Drosophila melanogaster: one gene and its partners. The protein of the gene in region 1 interacts with the protein of each later gene in a pairwise test. Each region holds a gene or a part of one and is shown in the gene's direction. Other genes may lie near its edges.

Evidence for each region.
Region 2: the proteins of Pfdn1 (region 1) and Cpsf6 interact in a two-hybrid assay, tested with the Drosophila melanogaster proteins (one large-scale study listed by BioGRID).
Region 3: the proteins of Pfdn1 (region 1) and CG9522 interact in a two-hybrid assay, tested with the Drosophila melanogaster proteins (one large-scale study listed by BioGRID).

What each region holds. Positions count from the first base shown.
Region 1 is NT_033779.5:6,066,806-6,071,703, forward strand, and holds Pfdn1 (prefoldin 1), read left to right. Parts: upstream 1-2,273; 5' UTR 2,274-2,415; coding exon 2,416-2,445; intron 2,446-2,541; coding exon 2,542-2,684; intron 2,685-2,753; coding exon 2,754-2,961; 3' UTR 2,962-3,002; downstream 3,003-4,898. Other genes in the region: CG9147 (uncharacterized protein), read left to right, coding at 1-430, 484-757; CG9150 (uncharacterized protein), read right to left, coding at 962-1,003, 1,061-1,774; CG9154 (uncharacterized protein), read right to left, coding at 3,003-3,373, 3,428-3,587, 3,644-3,784.
Region 2 is NT_037436.4:8,308,800-8,318,185, reverse strand, and holds Cpsf6 (cleavage and polyadenylation specific factor 6), read left to right. Parts: upstream 1-2,683; 5' UTR 2,684-3,048; coding exon 3,049-3,114; intron 3,115-3,509; coding exon 3,510-4,229; intron 4,230-5,034; coding exon 5,035-5,175; intron 5,176-5,435; coding exon 5,436-5,902; intron 5,903-6,112; coding exon 6,113-6,412; intron 6,413-6,470; coding exon 6,471-6,539; intron 6,540-6,959; coding exon 6,960-7,155; 3' UTR 7,156-7,693; downstream 7,694-9,386. UniProt on the Drosophila melanogaster protein: May play a role in pre-mRNA 3'-processing.
Region 3 is NC_004354.4:14,844,452-14,851,350, reverse strand, and holds CG9522 (uncharacterized protein), read left to right. Parts: upstream 1-2,542; 5' UTR 2,543-2,572; coding exon 2,573-2,708; intron 2,709-2,854; coding exon 2,855-4,569; 3' UTR 4,570-4,879; downstream 4,880-6,899. Other genes in the region: CG9521 (uncharacterized protein), read left to right, coding at 1-94; CG12539 (uncharacterized protein), read left to right, coding at 6,619-6,769, 6,826-6,899.

The sequences.
Region 1 (4,898 bases):
CCCAAACTCGCAAGCGAGCTGGAACTGAACTGGCCACCGAGCCAGAGTTGACGCCCACGCTAGGTGCCGCTGCTTTGGCCTGGACTACTATGCAGACAGCACAGCGTCTGAACCTGCAACCGCTCGCCCTGCTACGAGAGTTCGCTGTAGAGCAGGATCACGAGCAGGCTATGTTCCGTCTGGATGGTAGGGAACCCGTGACGCCCAGTGATATCTACACCTGGAACATGGTCACAGGCACACAAAAGGGTATACCTGAAAGCATACTTGGCGATCTACATGCCAACCGCCTGTGCACGCATGACTTCAAACAAATCACAGCCAGCCACCTGCTAACGCATCTAGTCCATTCCCTTCCTGCAGGCGGACTGGGTTGCGCTTTTATGGGCACGACGGATGGCCGTTCCATGGCCATGGTACTTGAGAAGCTGTGAGTTTTGATCTCGGTTATGCCTGCTTCTACTAACACAAATCATCTTGCAGGGTGCCAAGCATTGATCAGGTGGAGGGCCTTCCGTTGCTCACTTTGTATACCAGGGAGCCCTGTCCACTGTGCGACGACCTTGTAGAGCAGTTGGAACAGGGCTTTGCAGGTCAATACCGTCTGGAGAAGGTTTACATCGACCGAAAGGAAAACGTTAGGTTCCTCCGCCTCTTCAGGCACGACATTCCCGTTCTGTTCTTCAACGGCCAGTTCCTATGCATGCACCGGCTAAACGAGGAAGCACTAAGAGAGCGGCTGGAGGCGCTAAACTAGTCCGATAATCGTTGGAAAAATCGTAAACAAACAAAATTCAATTCAGTTCAAGAAAATTCATAACTCAAGCTCTACTCTACTTGTTTATGATTAATATGGGGCATGCATATTGCGCAGAGTTTTTATTAAGTACAGTGTGTTTTTCATACTATAATCCTTGAAATTTATATTTTGCTCTGCATGGCTATTATAACCGGAAGAAGTTTAAAACATTTCGCCCATGGGTTTGATAGTGATTTCATGTACCTGAAGGTGGTTAGTTAAATTGGTCATAAGTTAATACATAATAGTGATTATGCTCACCTGAACATGAGGCGGAGTTCGCAGAGCATACATCACTGCGTCCGCAATGTTCGCTGGTTCGAGTCTGGCCATGTCTTTGACGTAAAAATGGATCTCTTCCGGGAAGATGTTCGTGTTCACCGCACCAGGACAGATGCCAGTAACCCGGATTTTGTTCGAGTGCAGCTGAAATTCCTGCCGATATGTCTCTGTGATGGCGGTGATGGCAAACTTGGTGGCCGGATATATATTGAACGATGGCAAAACGTCGATGAAGTTGAGCACCTGATGTCCGGCTATGCTGTTGATGATGAGAACGTGACCTTCGCCACCTCGCCGTTTCATGTTATTGAACGCCTCGCGGGTACACCAAATCACGCCCATTACGTTGGTGTCTATGACCTCCTTAAGCTTCTGCGTATTGCTCGGGGTGACCAGTTCCGTCTCGCGAGTAATGCCAGCATTGTTCAGCAGCACGTCGGCGCCCTCCAGCTCCCGTTCGATCCAGTCAAAAGAGCTCTGCACCTGATCTTCCTTGGAGACGTCGCAGCGCCGCGGTATGAAGTTCGCCTGCAGCTCCCGGGGCAGACTCTCCCTGAGCTCTTTCAACTTGGCCTCCCGACGTGCCAGGCCCACCACCCGTAGTCCAGCGCCGATCATGGCCCGAGCACAAGCGGCGCCTATGCCTCCGCTGGCTCCTGTTACCACAGCCAGTTTGTTCTGCCACCGCTCCATGCCGTCTTGTGAATGAGGAGCTGATGCAAGTAAGAAGCCCGCATCGGAAACTCGGGAGCAGTTTCATGGCTTCTTGGTTCGCAATTGAGGTTAATCTCCAACGGTCAAATGTTGTTGTCAGGTTGTAGATATATATATTAAAAGAAGATTCAACAATTTGGGTCAGGATTATACGCACTTAAGGTTAGGCTATCCTTTTATTCTTAAATTGACCTAAAGAAAATGTATTAAGGAACTGCGAGACTTTAAATATAAAATAAAATAGCTCAAATGTATATATTTTTTTAAGATTGTGTACTTTTTAAATTTGAATAAAAATTTTATAAGCGATAACATAAAAATTAATATTTGTACTTGGTAGTGACCAGTGACCACATTTTAAAGAAAAATTCAATTTGCATATTTATTCAAAGTCTTGAAATCGGTTTGAATTTACACTTGCCGGCAAATTGGTTATCGATAGTGCAGGGCGTACTCATCGATATTTTCAGGCCAGCAGGAGTCAGATATAACTGCCATCACTAATAAAGTAGAAAAAAAAAACCATAAGCTTACCGCAGGTGTTGCAATTTTCAGTGAATTCGCAGCAAAGCCAAGCAATTTGCATTCAATCATCTGTGAAGGAAAAGCTATCACACAAAATGGCACAAATGGACATCGAATTGAAGAAGGTGAGCGGAAGGCAAGTTGCCAAAAAGGCCGACTGCCGACGGAGAGCGCGTGCTCTTCCAAAGAACTTAGTCATAGACGATTCCTTTTGCACGCAGGCCTTCACCGAGATGCAGATCAATAAGCTGGAGACGACCAAGAAGATCCACATGATCGACATGAAGTGCGACATGGTCAAGACAGGCAAACAAAAGTACCAGCTGACAGAAAAGGGCACCAGCAGCTTGGCCGACGACACAAGGTACATAACTAGAATCACAATTAATCATCTCCAGGTGTTCAGGTGGCTAATTGAACTGTTTCCCTATAGAGTTTACCAGTCCGTGGGTCGCATGTTCCTGCTTACCGATGTACAGAATATGCGCGAGGACCTGAAGGCTAGGCAGGAGAAATGCGACAAAGCGATAGAACTGCTGGAGAAGAAGAAGGAGTTCTTGCAGAAGTCCCTTAAGAGCCAGGAAGACGGTCTGCGCGAGTTGGTGCAGCAGCGCAAGGAAGCCGATCAGACTGCGAAATAGACTACAACTCCAAACTGGCATTTATCCCTCAACGCAATTGCTTATTTATTTTCAATATACTCGTCTAAATTGAAGTTGGCGTAGCTGACAAACTTGTTGCCCAGATTGCGTTCGTGTTCCGGGCGGAAGCTGCACTTGAGGACGGGCAGGCGAGCGGTTAGCCAGGGCTCCACCACCTCACCGGAGCACAGGATTACCTTGCTCTCCTTCTGGTTTCGTTGCAGCCTAGTGATTATTTCACACGTTTTGGCGATGCACTCCTGGGACAGGAAGGGCGGGTCGGCCACGATGAGGTCATATTGCTGGTGGTGCTCTTTGAGGTAGTCCGGGTTGCTCCCTACGCAGTTCAAGTCGTAGTGCACAAAATCTGTGCCATAGGCCTCGAAACGCTTGTCGAACTCGAATATGTGCACTACAAGATAGAATGATGACAATTCATTCATAATCGTTTCACATGTCCACTTACCTGTGTCATGTATCTCCCTGATGTCCTTGTAGAGCGATGGGCAGGAGAGCAGTGCTATACTAAAGTCACCCGAATCCTCCGTGCGCTCCGCCAGAAGCTTACGCACAACATCACGCAATGCGTGCTTGGTTTCCGTGCTGTACCAGAACTGACTCAATTGCTGCAAGCGAAGAGAGTTTCACCATAAGTTTCTAAGGTATGTGCAGGTGCTCTTGCCCAATCCTCCTCGAACTGGGCATCCTTGCCGGTCTTGTTGGCGATTTGATTCTCCTCCTCGGCTTCGCGTTTTGATCTCTCCAACAGAAATTCGTTTAAAATGGCCAAAGTGTCGGCGGGCAGCGAGATGTCGTCGTCCATAATTAATTATTTGCCACTAAATGAATCTTAGAGCATTCAAATCAAAATAAACCAAAATGTGCGTTTGAAGATTAGAGGTGCGAAATTAGCGATACAAATGAGAACTTATTGGGGGGATTCCAGGCCTTGGCGCTGTTTTCAAATTGTAAATTATTAGAAACTTAGGCCAACTGCGATATTGAAATTATACTTTCAAAATAATATGCACTTTAACCGTATGCAAATCGATTACCAATTTTAATTTATTTTAAGTTATTTTATTAATACAACTAGCTCCAGAAACCTGTATCGTAACTTTTATTTGACAACACATTTTCAAACTGTACTGAATATTTAGGCGTTTAATCGACAACTAAAACAGCAACTTTCAAGTACGTGGTCTTTAAATTTCGTAAGATCGAGAAAGCAGTGCGATACAAATCGGTGGCAGCCCTGTGTCAGTTCGTTTTTATCGAACTAGATCAACTTTGCCCGTCCATCTCTAGTTCGCACGGGAGCCCCGACCAAACTGATACGTATTAATTTACGAGAAAAACTTGCGTTTAATTCGAAGTCACATCATATCGCAGGCTGGAACGTACCTGCTGCTAAGTAAGAGGTAAGTGAATGGCCAACGTGAATTAGGAAAAATCAGTGCCTTGCCGGAAACGAAATCCATGTGATTAAAGGCTAACTTTCTTCGCTTGACGTCGTTCCCAAATCGGATAAAAGTGTGCTGCTGGCCCAGTAATTACACTGGTGAATTATGCAGGTCGGCATTTGGACTCGCTCCGCGACTTCCGTGCGGGGGAGGAAGCATCCAATCCCCAAGCGCAACCGTTTCGAATTTCTACAGCGCGGCGCGAAGAGCCCTGCACTTTGATTTCGTTGCCGTTCATTGTGGAGTTCAGTCGGGTCAATCAGCCTCAATTTGCGAGACTTACCTTCTGAATCTCTGACGTGTACCTACCAACCAAACTGTCCACTATGTGACATCATATAATTGGGCTTCCGACTCCGGACTATTGCATGAATAATGTGCGCGCGGGTTGACAGGTGCTACCTTAAATTGACTAGGTGACCCACTTCCGTTGAAGGACCCTCCGTCCACAGATCCCAATCGATACGGCTGCCC
Region 2 (9,386 bases), on another chromosome or scaffold:
CCAAAAGGCAAATTAGTCAAATGGTAACAATTATATAATGGTCGAGTTATACTTGGCCACTTGGCGAGAAGTGGGCGTTGCATGTTTGCCTTTCACTTTTTTTTCTGGAGCTGAATCTGGATCTGGAGCTGGATCGGCCAGCTGCTGTGCCAGGATATACATACATATATCAAACGGCACGATTATACAATATGGCCACGTAATTAGTCGCCTCGTATGGCGGCAAACAATTGCAAACAGTTGGCAAACAATGTTTGAATGTTCTCCAAAACAGCAGCGGTGCGCAATTGAGACATTATTCAATTTGTGACAATCGCGAGAAAACCGAGTAGAAAACTTTAACAAGAGCGAAAAACAATTAACTGCATTTTGGCGGCGATTTCCCAAAGCGATGTTCTAATTTTGCAACCGAAAATGCCTCGCTGGGCCCAAAGTTGTGAACATTTAATGAGCACCAAAAACGTAAATTTAATTTATATCGTTTTCTAAGCTTTTTGTCAGACGACAAATTTCGTAATGTTTTTTTTTTTTTTTGTTTTTTGTTCGCTTTTTGTCGGTTTCTGGTGGTTTTTTTTTTCTTTTTTTTTTTTTGTTTTGTTTGCTGGTGATTCGTGTAAACTGTGCCGACTCGGCATGGAGCTTTGGATTTGGACCCTGGTTGCATGTCAAAGGCGCATGAAACGCGCCAGCCTGCCACAAGAATCAAATGACACTCGGCCTGGTCCATTTCGGTCGCTCCACGGAGTTAAAAAAATTATCCATGCAGTGCAGTTTGTAGCTTACAGTTCGCAGTTTGCAGTATGATATGGTCAAAATACCCAGCAGTGTGTAGCCTTAATTGGCACCTCGACACTTGGCCAGGACCGAACCGAATCGAATCGCATCGAATGACTGCTGCTGTGTAGGTGCACTTGATGGCCGGCTGTGGTGTGAGATTTATGCATGTTCTCTTTGCGTATCCATTGCCCAACTGATGGTGGTGGAGCGGCACGACGGCTACTGGGCAGTTGGAAGCTTGGAAGTTGCAAGTTGGCACTTTGTTAGGCTGCGGCGCCGCTTTTTGATAAAGTATCCCAGCCAATGGTCACGCAATAAATTTTTGACATGACTTACGCACGTCCGAAATGGTCGATGGGGGGCAATTGATATGAGTGGTAGCCATTATGTAGATCTAAGTGATCGGAAACATTCAATAACACTTATACGACTTTTATGATAGCCAGCCAAAGGCCACACGGCGTATGCGCAATATTTTCATAGCAATTGATTTTTATCCTATTATTGTTGGTTATTTTAAAAGCGTGCAGTATATTTAAGATAAATACTACGTGCGTAAGTCTCCTCCCCTTCAATGTTGCACCTTTGAGCCCCAATTCTGTCCCAAAAATGTCAGCGATTAGCCGAGAATTTCAATTGACTGCACCCTCGCCACCAACATCCGTCGATTTCCATCTGCGTGATTGCTCTTGAAGAACCGCCCACCTTGAATTGGAAACACATTTCCACATATGCAAATCGCGAAAATCCAATCTGCAATAGCTTTATTCGCTGAAGCATTTAAAAATCGATTGATTGCTGTAAAGATCGTAATTACCCATTTAATTACTCTTGTTAATTAAACACACAATCGCATGAGGCGAGAGCAGCAAATATAATTGCCGTCCGTTCAGATTGGACGATAAAAGCCAGTGGTAATTGACATTTAAGGCAATTCATTAACGCAACTAACATATGGGAGTCAAAGAGCCAAAGTTAAAAACTAAATACCAACAGGTGGACTACTGCCCAAATACGAGAAGAAAAATGAAAAAACATCAGATACACGAATAACATGGCTAATCATGCACTAGATTTCGGGATATGTGTCTTTTTTTTCACAGGCCCGACTAAAAAATGCTGCCTCGGTTTTTTTTTCCCCCAATTTTTCACCGCGCATTTGCATACGAGTGGCCAAGTCGACGGCGCCACAATCTCCTCGGTTCCCAGCCACCAGCAAGTTCGAAGATTTCGGAGAGCCGAGTTGTTAGCGGCAATTATTGTAACCTGCAGACGGGCCGCATAAATCAGCTTAATTGCTATATTTAAATTCTAAATTTGGAGCTCTGGCCAAGTGCGCTGTCTAGTTGTGCAAGTGACACGGTCAGCGTCTATTTGGACCTGCAAATCTAATATATGCATGGCTATAGTTTTTGGGCAGCATTAACAATTTATGCAAATTAATGTGTGTGTGATGGTGGTCCCCTAAAAAGGCAAATTTATTAGAAGTATGCATATTTAAATTAAGATATGCCTGTTATGGGTGTTGTAATGAATGTTAAGTATTTTCACATGTCGATTTTTAATAACAAAGAACCTAATGAACTTATTACACATTTCAAGAAAGTTCTAACGGTTGGTTTTAAAATTCAAAATTCGATAGAAGTCGATATATTTTCAATGGTTTGTGTCCACGCTACGACCACAGTCAAATTGGAAATTGATGTCAAGTATTTGTGATTATTTTATGGTAATAATAAAGCGATTTAGGTAACAAACACATCTAATTAAATTCTATTCATTAAATATATTTTATCGTAGTTGTATTCTCATTAACTGTCAAATTGCGGAATACCCCAAACAGGATGTGGTATTTTCTAGTATGCGAGCAAAAATATACCGCATAGGTTTTCCACATTTCAGCTTTACAGTCACACTGCACCGCTCCGCCATTTTACGCTGACAATTTTTTCGCAAGATTGAAGAAACTAGTTCGTGCACGAGTAGAATGTAAATAGTTACAGAATTCACCCAACGGAAAACAACGCGCCAAAGCAATTAATCAATTAATTGTGCAGCGGGCGCGATTACCCGGCTAAATCGCGCAGCAGCACGCCGGTTTCTGCTCCGGCTTCCCCCTCCCCCGCAAAAAAAAAGAAACTGTACGAGGCGCGAGTGCAAGTGGGACAGAGACGGAAAGATTGGCGAGTGTCTTAGTGTGCGTGCGAAAATTGGGAAAAGCGGTGAAAAATCAGTAATTACGCCTAGGAATAGCAACTTTTCCGGCTCAACATGGCCGACGTGGTCTTGGATCTGTACGCGGAGGACCTCGACAAGGACTTTGCCGGGCAGGCTCAGGTAAGCCATGGGAAAAAGGCAGTCGCTCTGCAAGCCGCGTGTGTATGTATACAGTAGGGTGGATCGATGTCCGAAAGAATTGCGTTAGGGGGTAGAACGGCGTCTTGGGCGAACTCGACCACTTGGTACCTTGTAAAGTAGGGTTCTAGGAACTGAGTGCAGGGATATTATATTTATATAAAAATGAAACGTAATTTTTTTTAATTTCTTTAGCCATGGAAATGTAGAGAATTGTACGAATCCCAATAACTATACATTCTAAAAATTCTAAAGTAAAAATAGAGTAAAATCGAATTTGTAAAAAAAACAAGACTTGATCGTTTATTTTTAACGATTTTACGGGATTCCCACAACAGTTTGACCCACTTGTTAATTACTTTGCTTTATCCGCACAGGACGAATTTGGAGGCGATGGAGTAGACCTATACGATGACATAGGCGGTCCCACCGAATCGGCCGCCTCAGGTGGCGGGGGCGGTGGAACGCCCTCCGCAGATGGAGCCGCAGGGCCAGGCTCCGGGGAACCCGGCGAACGGAATTCCGGTGGTCCCAATGGGGTGTACCATCAGAGCAGTGGTAGCCTCACTCCGACCATGAATCGCCGCTACCAGCTTTATGTGGGCAATCTCACATGGTGGACCACTGACCAGGATATCGCCAATTCGCTGCGAGACATTGGCGTGAGTGATCTACAGGAAGTGAAGTTTTTTGAGAACAGGGCCAACGGTCAGTCGAAGGGCTTCAGTGTAATCTCCCTCGGCTCAGAATCTAGCCTGCGCGCCGTGCTCGACCAGCTGCCCAAGAAGGAGATGCACGGCCAAGCGCCGGTGGTCACGTATCCCAGCAAGCAGGCACTCACCCAATTCGAGAGTCTGCAAAAGACGCGTCCAGTGCCGCCGCCGCAGCAGAATGGACCGCCCAGGGGTCCGGCACCACCCAGTATGGGTGGCGGGCCAATGCCCACCGGACATCCAGGAGGACCGCAAGGAGGTGGACCACCGGGACATCCACCGCGCGGGATGAACTCCATCATGCAGCCGGGCCAGTACCGACCGCAGCACATGTCGCAGGTTCCCCAGGTGGGCGGACCCAACTCAGGACCTCCACGAATGCAGGTACACAACCACTGTTTTAGCCCCACATGGCCCCAAGAGGTCTCATCGTTTGTAGAAATATCGCTCGGTTCTAATTTGTTTTGTTTCTACATTCCTACATTATTTCCTATTTCCATCAAAATTGTTCTGAATGCAAAATTTGCTTACTTAGGTAAAATTAGAAACCCTAAATATACGACTTCATGTATAGTTTATAAACGAATATGTTCTACTTCAGTTGTTCGATATTCTTTTGTAAATTAAACGTAGAAACTTAGTTTTACAATTTAGAGAAAACAATAACGACTTTAGATGTGAGATATAAACAATCTGAAATATCCGATCTCTTGTTAGTATTTCATTTGATAATTTATAAACTAAACTAAAGCTGTCGTACAAATTAAGTTTCTAAGAATTTTTATTTATGTCTTTAAGTACTATTCTTATTCTTTACTTCTATTAATTCACAAGTAATTTCAGAGCAATTTTTTGTAGCACTCCTCGGCCTAAGGCAGTTTGTATTCTTTTTACTCCTTTTGTACTCTAGTCATAGACTTTCAACAAAAAAAAGCACATGTAATAAATTAAAATCAAGAGCAGTGCCTTCCTGGTTCCACTCAAATAATATATACTTTTGATTTAATTGCGTTAATGTATTTCCCCCCCTAGTATTTGTAATTGTGTATAATGGCCCGCTATTGTTATACAAAATGTTTATGTATTACGATTTATGTTCTATTCCATGTCTTTGACAACGCTTACGCACACTTCTACCCCACAACAACAACTACTACTTCAATATAAAACGTAATTCGTATTAATATAGCCGCCAATGCATCCGCAAGGCGGGCTCATGGGGAACCAACAGCCGCCACCCCGGTATCCGTCAGCGCAGGGCCAATGGCCAGGTCAGCGGCCAGGCGGGCCGCGACCAGGTCCACCGAACGGACCACCGCAGCGACCAATGGTAACAATCCCCAAAGCACTGAGTCCTCTTTGTATCTATGCCATAATATAATTCTAACGAAGCCAGAGAGAAGGCGAGATAAAGGAAGACTAACCCAACTTAAGTTAACCTTAGTTAACTTAGTCTTAAGCGATGTATTCAGAACATTTTCAGTAATTCCACAGATCAACCCATGCAACACAAACTCATACTATAGCTTAGAAACCGATTCGATCCGATCATTGGGAACAGTAAATAATCTTGTCTCTTCTGCCTTGCAGTTCCAAGGAGGCCCAATGGGCATGCCCGTCAGGGGTCCGGCAGGTCCCGACTGGCGTCGTCCACCCATGCACGGTGGTTTCCCGCCGCAAGGTCCGCCACGTGGCCTTCCCCCAGCACCAGGTCCGGGCGGACCACACGGCGCACCCGCACCCCACGTGAACCCAGCATTCTTTAACCAGCCTGGTGGTCCTGCCCAGCATCCGGGCATGGGTGGCCCGCCCCACGGAGCACCAGGTCCACAGCCAGGCATGAATATGCCACCGCAACAGGGCATGAACATGACGCCACAGCATGGACCGCCACCCCAGTTCGCCCAGCATGGACCACGTGGTCCGTGGCCGCCACCGCAGGGTAAGCCACCAGGTCCCTTCCCCGATCCGCAGCAGATGGGTCCGCAACTGACGGAGGTGGAGTTCGAGGAGGTGATGAGCAGAAATCGCACAGTCAGCAGTTCGGCGATCGCCAGGTGAGTGCAAAGGTTTTTAAAATGTTTTCTTTAACGAGGTCAAAACTTGTAGTTATTATTTAAAAACTAACCCATTCCTAAGTCGAATTCATAGAAAATTCCAATTATTGAAACTATGACTCAGATCCGGTCTAATTAATAAATTATCTAGATAATTAATTACTTTGTTGATCAAATATCAATTCCCTTTTTATGCTAATTTATTTTCAGAGCTGTTTCTGATGCAGCCGCTGGTGAATACTCGAGCGCCATCGAGACACTGGTCACAGCCATTTCACTGATCAAACAGTCCAAGGTAGCGCACGATGAGCGATGCAAAATTCTGATTAGCTCGCTGCAGGACACGTTGCATGGCATCGAGGCCAAGAGCTACAATAGGCGCGAAAGGTCGCGGTCGAGGGAGCGATCTCATCGCAGCCGACAGCGACGTGAGCGTTCCACGTCCAGGTACCGCGAGCGATCTCGGGAGCGGGAACGCGATCGGGATCGTGAGCGTGAACGGGATGGCGGGTAAGTTTTGGTTCTACCATGTGTAAGCCTCACACTTAATTCCGTATTCATTTTCTAGAAGCTACAGAGAGAGGTCTCGCAGTAGAGAACGTGAACGCCAGGCTCCAGATCACTACAGGGATGACAGGTAAAGACGTTCTACTTCTAAAAATTCGCTTCACTGTCTCATTTAAAAGTTGCTGATTAATTAATCATAGTGCTTCATTTAAATAGCATAGAACTCATAATTTATTCACTCGTAAACAGATTTTTTACTTTTGCTGTAAAAACAAGTGTAGATTTGTAAAGTCAGACGAAACTTTATTTTAAAATATTTGGAAAAATGTATAATTTATTAAAAGGTAGTATTTTTAAGGTATAGGCTTTTCAAATTTTTTATTTTCATTAAAAGCTTTCTGTAAAGATGTTAGCTTGAATTGTAACTGTTTAGGCTCATCAGAATATTTTTGCTCTTTTGTGCAACAATATACGGTGACAATTAAGCGAATTATTTTTAAGCTCGAAATGAAAACCTTGCGTTAATTTCAATCCCATAATCCGAAAACAGCCGATCGGTGCGTCCACGAAAGTCGCCGGAACCCGTAGTCGCCGAAGCAGCGGAGGCGCCATCATCGAAGCGCTACTACGAGGATCGGGAAAGGTACCGCTCCTCGGACCGTGAGCGACGCGACCGCGATCGAGACCGCGACCGCGAGCGGGAGCGTGATCGCGACAGGCGTGAGGAGCACCGTTCCCGGCATTGACTGCCGTAAGTGGAAGTTGGAACCATCGCCAGTGGACCCGTAATCAAGTGTAAAGATGCAACACAGATATACTAAACACACTCTATTAACAAACAATAAGCCGCAGCTTGGTGGGATGACAAGCTAGCCACAATTAACAGATTTTCGATTTGTATCTAACATTACCAATACGTAGGATATGAATATGGCAAACAGCATAGTTCTTCTAGACATACTATAATAAGCCGAAATGCTGACAAGATTTTACCAACGACGGACGGGGACTGCCTCTGGATCCATCCAACTTCACATCACAGAATCCTGGCAACATCAAGACCGGCAGACCGAAGTCAGCAGCAGTAGCAGGAGGATCGATGGAGAAGCCAAGGGGACAGTCAGCGTGGGACATTATAGACACTGATGCGCACTGGATCATCAAACAACAAACAACTAGCATTCCTGCACCGCCGTCTTCGCAGCAGAATTTCAATATTATTGTACTCTAAAATTTCGGTTTATTTAATAAAACATAAACGTATGAAAAAAAGAATTGTTCCAGAAAAAACCTTTACCAAAACTGTCTTGTATTGTGTGTCTTCTTGTACTCTTATTATATAAAAAAAAAAACATCTTATTAGTTAATGACTTTATAATTGTACAACAAAATTGTATGTAAAAATTACAAAATTATTGCACTTGTGCGTGCAATTAATATGGAAATTGTTATATTAACAAAATCATTTTGCCGACTGAGGCCGAAAATCGTTATCCCTAATGTATTTTCAAATATTTCGCGATCTTTTGTTGTAAACATTCTCCACGCATTTGTTTAATCTTGTTTTTATTTAACAATTAAACTTAAGTCGATCATAATTGTGTGCTTGAGACTGAGTGTGAGTGAATTTTTGTAGCATTCAAATGCCGACTGAATCCATCCGCATAAACGGATGGAGAAAACCATATGTTTGTATAGAATAAGTCGAGTGTGTGCTTTTAGCCCAAATACCATGATTTTTAGACTAAATTACTCTAAAAGAGAAACGTCCCAATCGCATTTATCGTAGTTAACTATACTAACGTTACAAGCTGATGTAGTTCCTAACATAGGTTCCAAGAAAAGAACAAAGTCATTCAGTTCCCCCCGAGATACTGTACTACTCGCGGCTCATTTTACACAACTTAGGCCTCCAATTGTATCATCTACATTTTACTTTTTTAAATTCTAGCTTTACTTTTAATTTGTATATACATTTTGTAAACGATACTCGACTAAGATCATGTCCCACTAATCCCGAATTGCAATTACACCTTGTTAAATCAAGTCTACGATTTGAAAAGTACCTGTAACTCTCCGCAGAGCGAGAGCCTAGAGGTGTTAAGAGTATTATGAGCTTAACGATGTCTTGTACAATTTATACTGTGATTGTGATCTCGATGAAACAAACTACATATGAATTTATACAAACCATTACTGTCTGTTAAGTCATGCCAAAGCAGGTAATGTTGTCCCATTCTTCTGGGACCCTATATATACACTATAGAATTTTTAGAGTTTTCTTGTTTTATGGACAAGTAACAGCACCTAGTCGCCCAATTTGCCATAGTTTATTATTTACCATGTACAATGTTTTTAGAAAATACGCCAATTACCTTGTTTTTGGATCTAGCGCGAAATAAAAAAAACATTTACTAGTCGTTTCGAACTTCGTTGCTTTTCAAATGGAAAGTAGGCAGCGCGCGCAACCGAAAAACACGTCATAGAATCATCTGGAAGTTCGAAAAATGTCCGTTTACCCAACACTGACTCAGGTGGGCAATTGTCGAAAACACCACCTTATCAACAGTGCTGACGGTGTTCTAGTTTTGAAAAAAAAAAGGCTGGTATAAAATCCAAAAGATTTATACAAAATTGAACTGGAGTATTATTTATTTATTCAATTAACAGGATTATATGTTAAACTTAATTTATAGTATGTTGTACAAGTATTTATGTGTATACGGTGAGTTTAATAATGAATACGAGCATAAAGTTCAAATCTAAATGTAGCTGTAAAAAGACCACGTCGTCAGCACTAACCTATAGCAACTTATCCAACACTAAAAGCTGATAAAACAGATTTCGTGAAATACAGAAAGAAAAGGCAAGAAAATAGAGCCGAGTAGGCCTTACAAAGTAAACAGTCAGTTTTAAAACATCAGTGCAAACAGTTCTAATTCACTCCTCCGTTTGACAAACTTATGTGTAATATTAC
Region 3 (6,899 bases), on another chromosome or scaffold:
GGAAATCATGTCCGGACATCCGAATGGACCCGTCTTCATGATTGCCGAGAAGGCAGCCGATATGATTAAACAGGATCATGGTTTCATCCAGTGAAGCCATCTTAGCCCAAAGTTAATTACACAATCAGGTTTAAGCCCCATTTACACTGGCCTACCATCGAATCATCTCGTTAAATCACACCTTAAATGCAATGGCCAGTGTAAAATGGGGCTTTAGTTTTAGTTAAGGCCTTCGAAAACTTTTTGTTATTATGTGTAGTAATTCTTTCTTGCCTGAACTGATTCTAGTTTAAGATTTAGTTATATAAGCATAAATAAATGATTATAAGTTTTGTATGTACTATATAAACAAAATTCGTTTACTATGCAAGCAGAATTATTGAACTATATGAACTCTATAGAATGCATATTTGACTTTGGGAATTTTAAAATGATTAACTATCCAACTCCTTGAATACCAGAAAAAATAACAATAGTTATAGGCCCAAAAAATTCGTACTGCCTAAACCATTTGACTTTGACATTGAATTTTATTGGACTTCTGTCTTTGGCATTGTCTCATTTATATCAATAGGGATTTTCAACTCTGGCACTTTTCATGCTAATCAATTTGTGGCTTCATAATCAAAATCTGTGAAATACATGAAGTTGTCCGCTTGTTTGACGATTTTTTGTTTTGATTTATTACACGCCTTTGTTTTTGAGTTTCTCTCGATCTTTTTATTGTTGCGGAAATGATTTTTTTTTTATTCATCACTCTCGTTTTTTTTGCGTTCGTTTTTTATCTTGTCTAACGAACTTAGCCGGTGTGAATAATTTGTTAGGTGTTTTGTTCAAGCAATTTTCGGTGCTGAGTCTTTGGATTGATCTTGGTATAATTCGCATCGATTTGACCTTAGAATTATTTATGTATGTAGAGTGGGTATAAATCAGTCGAAAATTGAGAATAATTGCTTTGGTATAAGTATATCTTTCAATATCCCCAAGGGTAGGCTATATTAAAATTCTATTCAAATCGAAATGAAACGAAAAGCTTTGAGCTCAGCTTAAAGCTCTTGGATTTTATATTTTTCGAAGAATTTCAAAGCCGGCTTGTGATTCTAAATCACATTCGTCACTACGTGACTAGCCTTTGACAGTGCTTATTAAATTTAATATATTCACATATATTCTATAAACTTACATGTGCATATAGAAAACAAGGCAATTTACGTACAACTCAATTTATTTGTTGCACAAATTTTATTTCATTTACTTTTGACTAAATACCGAGTGAGCTATAGGCTATCCTATTTCCCATTGAAAACTCATGAAAACATTTCCCTTTCCTTTCGAAAAAAGTCACTAGACTTTTCATTAACACAAATTGAAATATTCATGAATCGAGGGGGCGGTTTGAGCCGCTCAAAAAAAAAAAGAAAAAGGCGAACACAATAGAGACAAATTTTGAATGCAATTGCCATGACCAAAACATGGCCCTTCCTCCGAATTTCACATCAATGTCCTCTGTGAAATCCCAGTCTTGTTCACATTTTGGTTTCATGTTCCCCTTTCGGCTGCTTTGGTTTTGTAAGGGCATCCAATGACTTTTATTGTGGGATTGGATGAACTGCATCCATATGCTGGGGTTGATACCAACTGCACTGAGCCACCCCTTTTATACATTTTTTTATTTTTGGCTAGACCTAAAGTCGTTTAATCGTTTTTGGTTTTGTTTTGTTTTGGTTTTTTCTTGATTATAATACTCTATGGGGTGGCTTGAAATATATATTAACCCTCGAGTGCCCGAGCCGCTGGTGCTTCAATCTTCAAAGATTTAACTGACAGTCCGGCATAAAAAATAAAAATATAAACAAAGCCAGCACAAGATGCCCATCCAAATGCCATTGAACCGAGCTCAGATGCAGAAGAAACACAGAGAGAAAACTAATGTATATAATATATGTATTTAAAATATTGCAAAAATCATTAATTTTAAGAAAAACTAATTACAAATTGCTGAAGAAATTAACCATTTACCATGGGTGTCTTTATCAAATCAAAACTTAAATGATCTAAATTTTTGTTTTCTGCATTAGAAAAGAGACAGAGGAACAGCAAATAAAAGAGAGGCAAGACCGTAGAGATGAGCAAGCAGAATGCGCAAATTAGCAAGTGGCAATAAAAATTCTGAGACAATCTCAGCCTGTTTTGGCCCTACAAACCTGGCCACCAAGTCAACCAACTCATCTCAACAGTGGAGGAAAAAAAGAAGACGTAGTGATGCGGAGAAAGGCGGCGCGAAAGAGAGGGGGGTATAGAGATCAGTGAGGGAGAACCAAACCGGCAAGATAATCCACAGTGGAGCAAGTTCCATTTGAAATAAAATAATAAAAGTTTCAATTAATGTTCACTAACTAACTTTCCACGCCCATAAATAAAAAGCGCAATAATAGTAAAATATAAAATAAATCACATATCTAGATTTTTTTGAGACTTTTAAAACTCGTTCCACAGTGCGTTGGCAGACGTAGAGGTCCAATATCACGGAAAGCTCGGTAGCCACAGAGTTCAGTTACCGGCCATCGCAACCATGGAGAAGCTGCTGCTGACCCAGCTTCTGTTTCTGCTCCTGATCCCACTGATCCACTCCCAAAGGAGCTCCCAACTGGACGAACTGCGGCGACTGGGATTGGGAAATGTCGTCAATGTGCCATTCTTCAGCGATGGTGAGGGTTTATTCAAATCATGGAAATATTCAAGTACCTATATGTGCTCCAATATAATAAGCGTATTTATGCCAGAGAGTTCCATGCTTTTAGTACTGGAAAATTTGTAATCGATTTAACACATATATTTTAAAATCTCCTTGCAGTTCCCCAAAGAAACTATGACTTCATAATAGTTGGAGGCGGAGCTGCTGGCTGTACATTGGCCGCTCGTCTCTCGGAGAATCCCAATTGGAGTGTGTTCCTTATCGAAGCCGGAGGAGTGGAGAACATAGTGCATCAGGTGCCATTACTGGCGGCCCATTTGCAGTCGACTGCCTCCAATTGGGGCTACAACTCGACGCCACAACGCCATGCCTGTCGTGGAATGCCCGATAACAAGTGTGCCCTGCCGAGGGGCAAAGTTCTGGGTGGCACTAGCTCGATCAATTACATGATCTACAATCGGGGCAATCGTAGGGATTTTGATGCCTGGGCGGCAGCTGGAAATCCCGGCTGGAGTTACGACGAGGTGTTGCCCTACTTTCTGCGAAGTGAGCATGCACAGCTTCAGGGATTGGAGCACTCGCCATATCACAATCACAGTGGTCCCTTGAGTGTGGAGGATGTGCGACACCGGACGCGACTTGCACACGCCTACATTAGAGCTGCCCAGGAGGCGGGTCATCCGAGAACGGACTACAATGGTGAATCCCAGCTGGGCGTTTCCTATGTGCAGGCCACCACACTGAAGGGCAGGAGGCACAGTGCCTTTCGTGCCTATATTGAGCCCATAAGATCTAGGCGTCATAATCTGCACATTCTAACACTGGCTAGAGTCACCCGAGTTCTGATAGATGCAGCCACCAAGTCCGCCTATGGAGTGGAGTTGACCCATCAGGGCAGAAGCTTTAAGGTGAAAGCCCGCAAGGAAATCATTCTATCGGCGGGTGCCTTCAACTCTCCACAGTTGCTGATGCTGTCGGGGATTGGGCCAGAAGATAACCTCAAGGCCATTGGAATACCCCTGATCAAGGCACTGCCAGTGGGTAAGAGAATGTTCGATCACATGTGCCACTTTGGACCCACTTTTGTGACCAACACAACGGGCCAGACTCTATTTGCCGCTCAATTGGGCGCACCGGTGGCCAAGGAGTTTCTACTGGGCCGGGCAGACACCTTTCTGTCCAGTATCGGTGGCGTAGAGACGCTCACCTTCATCAAGGTGCCGTCGGGCAAGAGTCCGGCCACCCAACCCGATGTGGAACTCATCCAAGTGGCCGGCAGCCTGGCTAGCGATGATGGCACTGCCCTGGCCAAAGGAGCCAACTTTAAGCCCGAGATCTACGAGAAAATGTACAAGAATCTGACGTTGAGGCAGCAGGATCACTTTAGCTTCCTCATCATGCACTTCAAGCCCGCCTCCGTGGGTCGCCTCTGGCTGCACAATCGCAATCCACTCGAGTGGCCACGCATCGATCCCAAGTACTTTTCGGCTCCGTCGGATGTGGAGAACTTGCTGGAGGGCATTAAGGAGGCACTCAGAATCTCCAAGATGCCGGCCATGCAGGCGATTGGAACCAGATTGTTGGACAAGCCGGTGCCAGGTTGTGAGAACTACGAATTCGCCTCGGATGATTATTGGCGGTGCTCCATACGCACGCTATCCTACACACTGCACCACCAGGTGGCCACCTGTCGCATGGGCGCCGAAAGTGATCCCACCACCGTGGTCAATCATCAGCTAAAGGTGCATGGAGTGAGGAAACTTCGGGTGGTGGACACCAGTATCATACCGTTTCCACCCACCGCTCACACAAATGCAGCGGCATTTATGATTGGGGAAAAGGCGGCTGATATGATACGATCCGAATGGAGTTGATTAACTCCAGATGAAGATCACCAAATCAGCGATTTATGTAAAGGGGTTAATAAAATGCGAGAGGAAAGTTTGAAAGAAAGCAAACGGGTAAAATCGTCACACGTTAAAAGCATTCGACAATTCTTTAATAATTTAAAAGATTGTGTTCCATACATAATTTTAAATCAGTAAGAAAAAAAAAATCACATTTTCATTGGATTTTAAAGGGTATCATATATCATTATTATTTTCAACATTTTGAAAATCTTTAATTCAAATTCATAAAATTAATAACATTTTTTTTTTTATAATAAATGCCATCGAAAATCTTTATAATTGACTTTTAACTCAATTGCCACCCGTTTTCGTTGAGTGTAGCGCCAAACGGGGTCTTCAGAACGGTTCGGGTCAATCCAATTTGGACCACGTCATGACCTAGCTTAATAAGTTCCCACCGATCCGTTCCGGTCTCGAACTGAACCGAATCCGAATCGGGCCAAACGAGGCATCCCAAAAACGGGTTTACGCACTCCAAGTTCAATGGCTCGTCAGTCTGGCCGACAAAAAAATACCAATAGAGCGCCGGGATTGGGTATGCCTCATCGATGATGTATGTACATATGTATGTATATACGATATTGTTGTTATTTTACATATTAACTTGAAGTGCATTTAGGGGCCCAACGCTGGGAGAACACGCGCCAAAGTTAAATGAACCCGCAAATGGTAGACGGCACTTAAAAAGTGAGAATCTTGTCATTCTCCATTCGCATTTGGTCAAACCAGGAAATGTGGCTATCATTTTCTGGATACCCTATAGTTTTAAGTTTTTTTTAATTTTCTTACAAAACTTGCAGCAATATATTTTACTGCCCAGGATATGGTTTTTATTGCATACTTTTAAGCACCTTTCGAATATTTCCTTTATAAACCTATTTAATACCTTAGATATATATATATATATATATATAATTACGTTAAATCACTGTAATTTTTCACCGTGTACATTTTAAACTAATCAAGAAGAACCAACTCATCTGAAACTGGATCAGTCTAAGTTTATCTTAATGACTTTCGGCACCTCAACTATGTTTTGATGCTTCCAGCTAAACTCTGCGATTTTCACTATTTATTTTTGTTTACTGCTAATTGGTGCTAATTTTATTTAGGTTTGTTTTAATTTCTTTAACCGGTTCTGGCCAACTTTGCTTTGTTTTTTATAAGTTTACTATTTCTGGTCGCCTTGCCATTTGGTTTATGTTGCTATTGTCTGGTGTTTGTATTTCGATTCGGTTAGTTTAATGCTCAATTGGATTCTTTGTTTGAATTCTATTTCTTAGTTTATTTGCTCTTCAGGCTTCATTGGCTGGCAAAGTTTCTTTTTACGATTTTCCGTGTCGGTTTATTTTTTAAGCTCTTCCTAAAGTGGTCTATATGCATGTTTCTTCCTGGAGTTCACTGGAGTTTGTAGTTCATTTTTTATAATTCTTTTTTGGTGAAAATGAATGTAGCTTATTACATTTTAAACGTTCCTACATATAATAAGATCTTTTTTTATTTTCCAAATATTATCTGGACTTAAACAGAGATGGATCAAGGTTCAAAACGGAATTGCCATTTCTAAAACAATGCAAGAATGCTAGAAATTACAGTATTTAAGCCCAAATAATATAATCAAACTTTTCAAACTTTTAAAAGTCATCATTTTCAATTACAATGTTACAAATTGTTTAAATATTCTAATAATAAGCACTAGCTAGCAAAATTCATTAATTTTAAGCTTTGTTCGAAATCATATACACCCACCACCGAATCCCCAACTACCCTCGCTAAATTACAGGGTATGCGGCTTATATGGCACACGGGGTGGGTGGGGCCTCGTTTGGCATCGGTGGCGCTGGATTAACAGCCACTGAGAGAGCCACAGAAAACAAAAGCAACCCACCGACGTGTATGGAACGCAATTATGGCACCTGACTCACTCGCTGCCAGTGCAATCCAGTCCAGGAGCCATGGCTTAAAAGCAACTCCCTTCAGGCGATAGCAGCTCATTTGCCCACCATTAGCCAAATGCAGTCCACACAGATCTCACAGCTCTTCCTGCTGCTGCACTTGCTCATCTTCACGACCGTTGCTCGTGGCGATGTCAATCGACTGGTGCTGGATCAGCTCAACCAGGTGGGATTGGTCAATCTCATAGAGCAGGCAACGCGACCGAATGGTAACTAAAGTCTTTCGATTTGGTTAGAATCAATGTTCCAATACTTTCACTTGCAGTACCCAGAGATCTATCCAACTATGATTTTATTGTGATTGGAGCTGGAGCAGCTGGTTGCACATTGGCCGCCCGC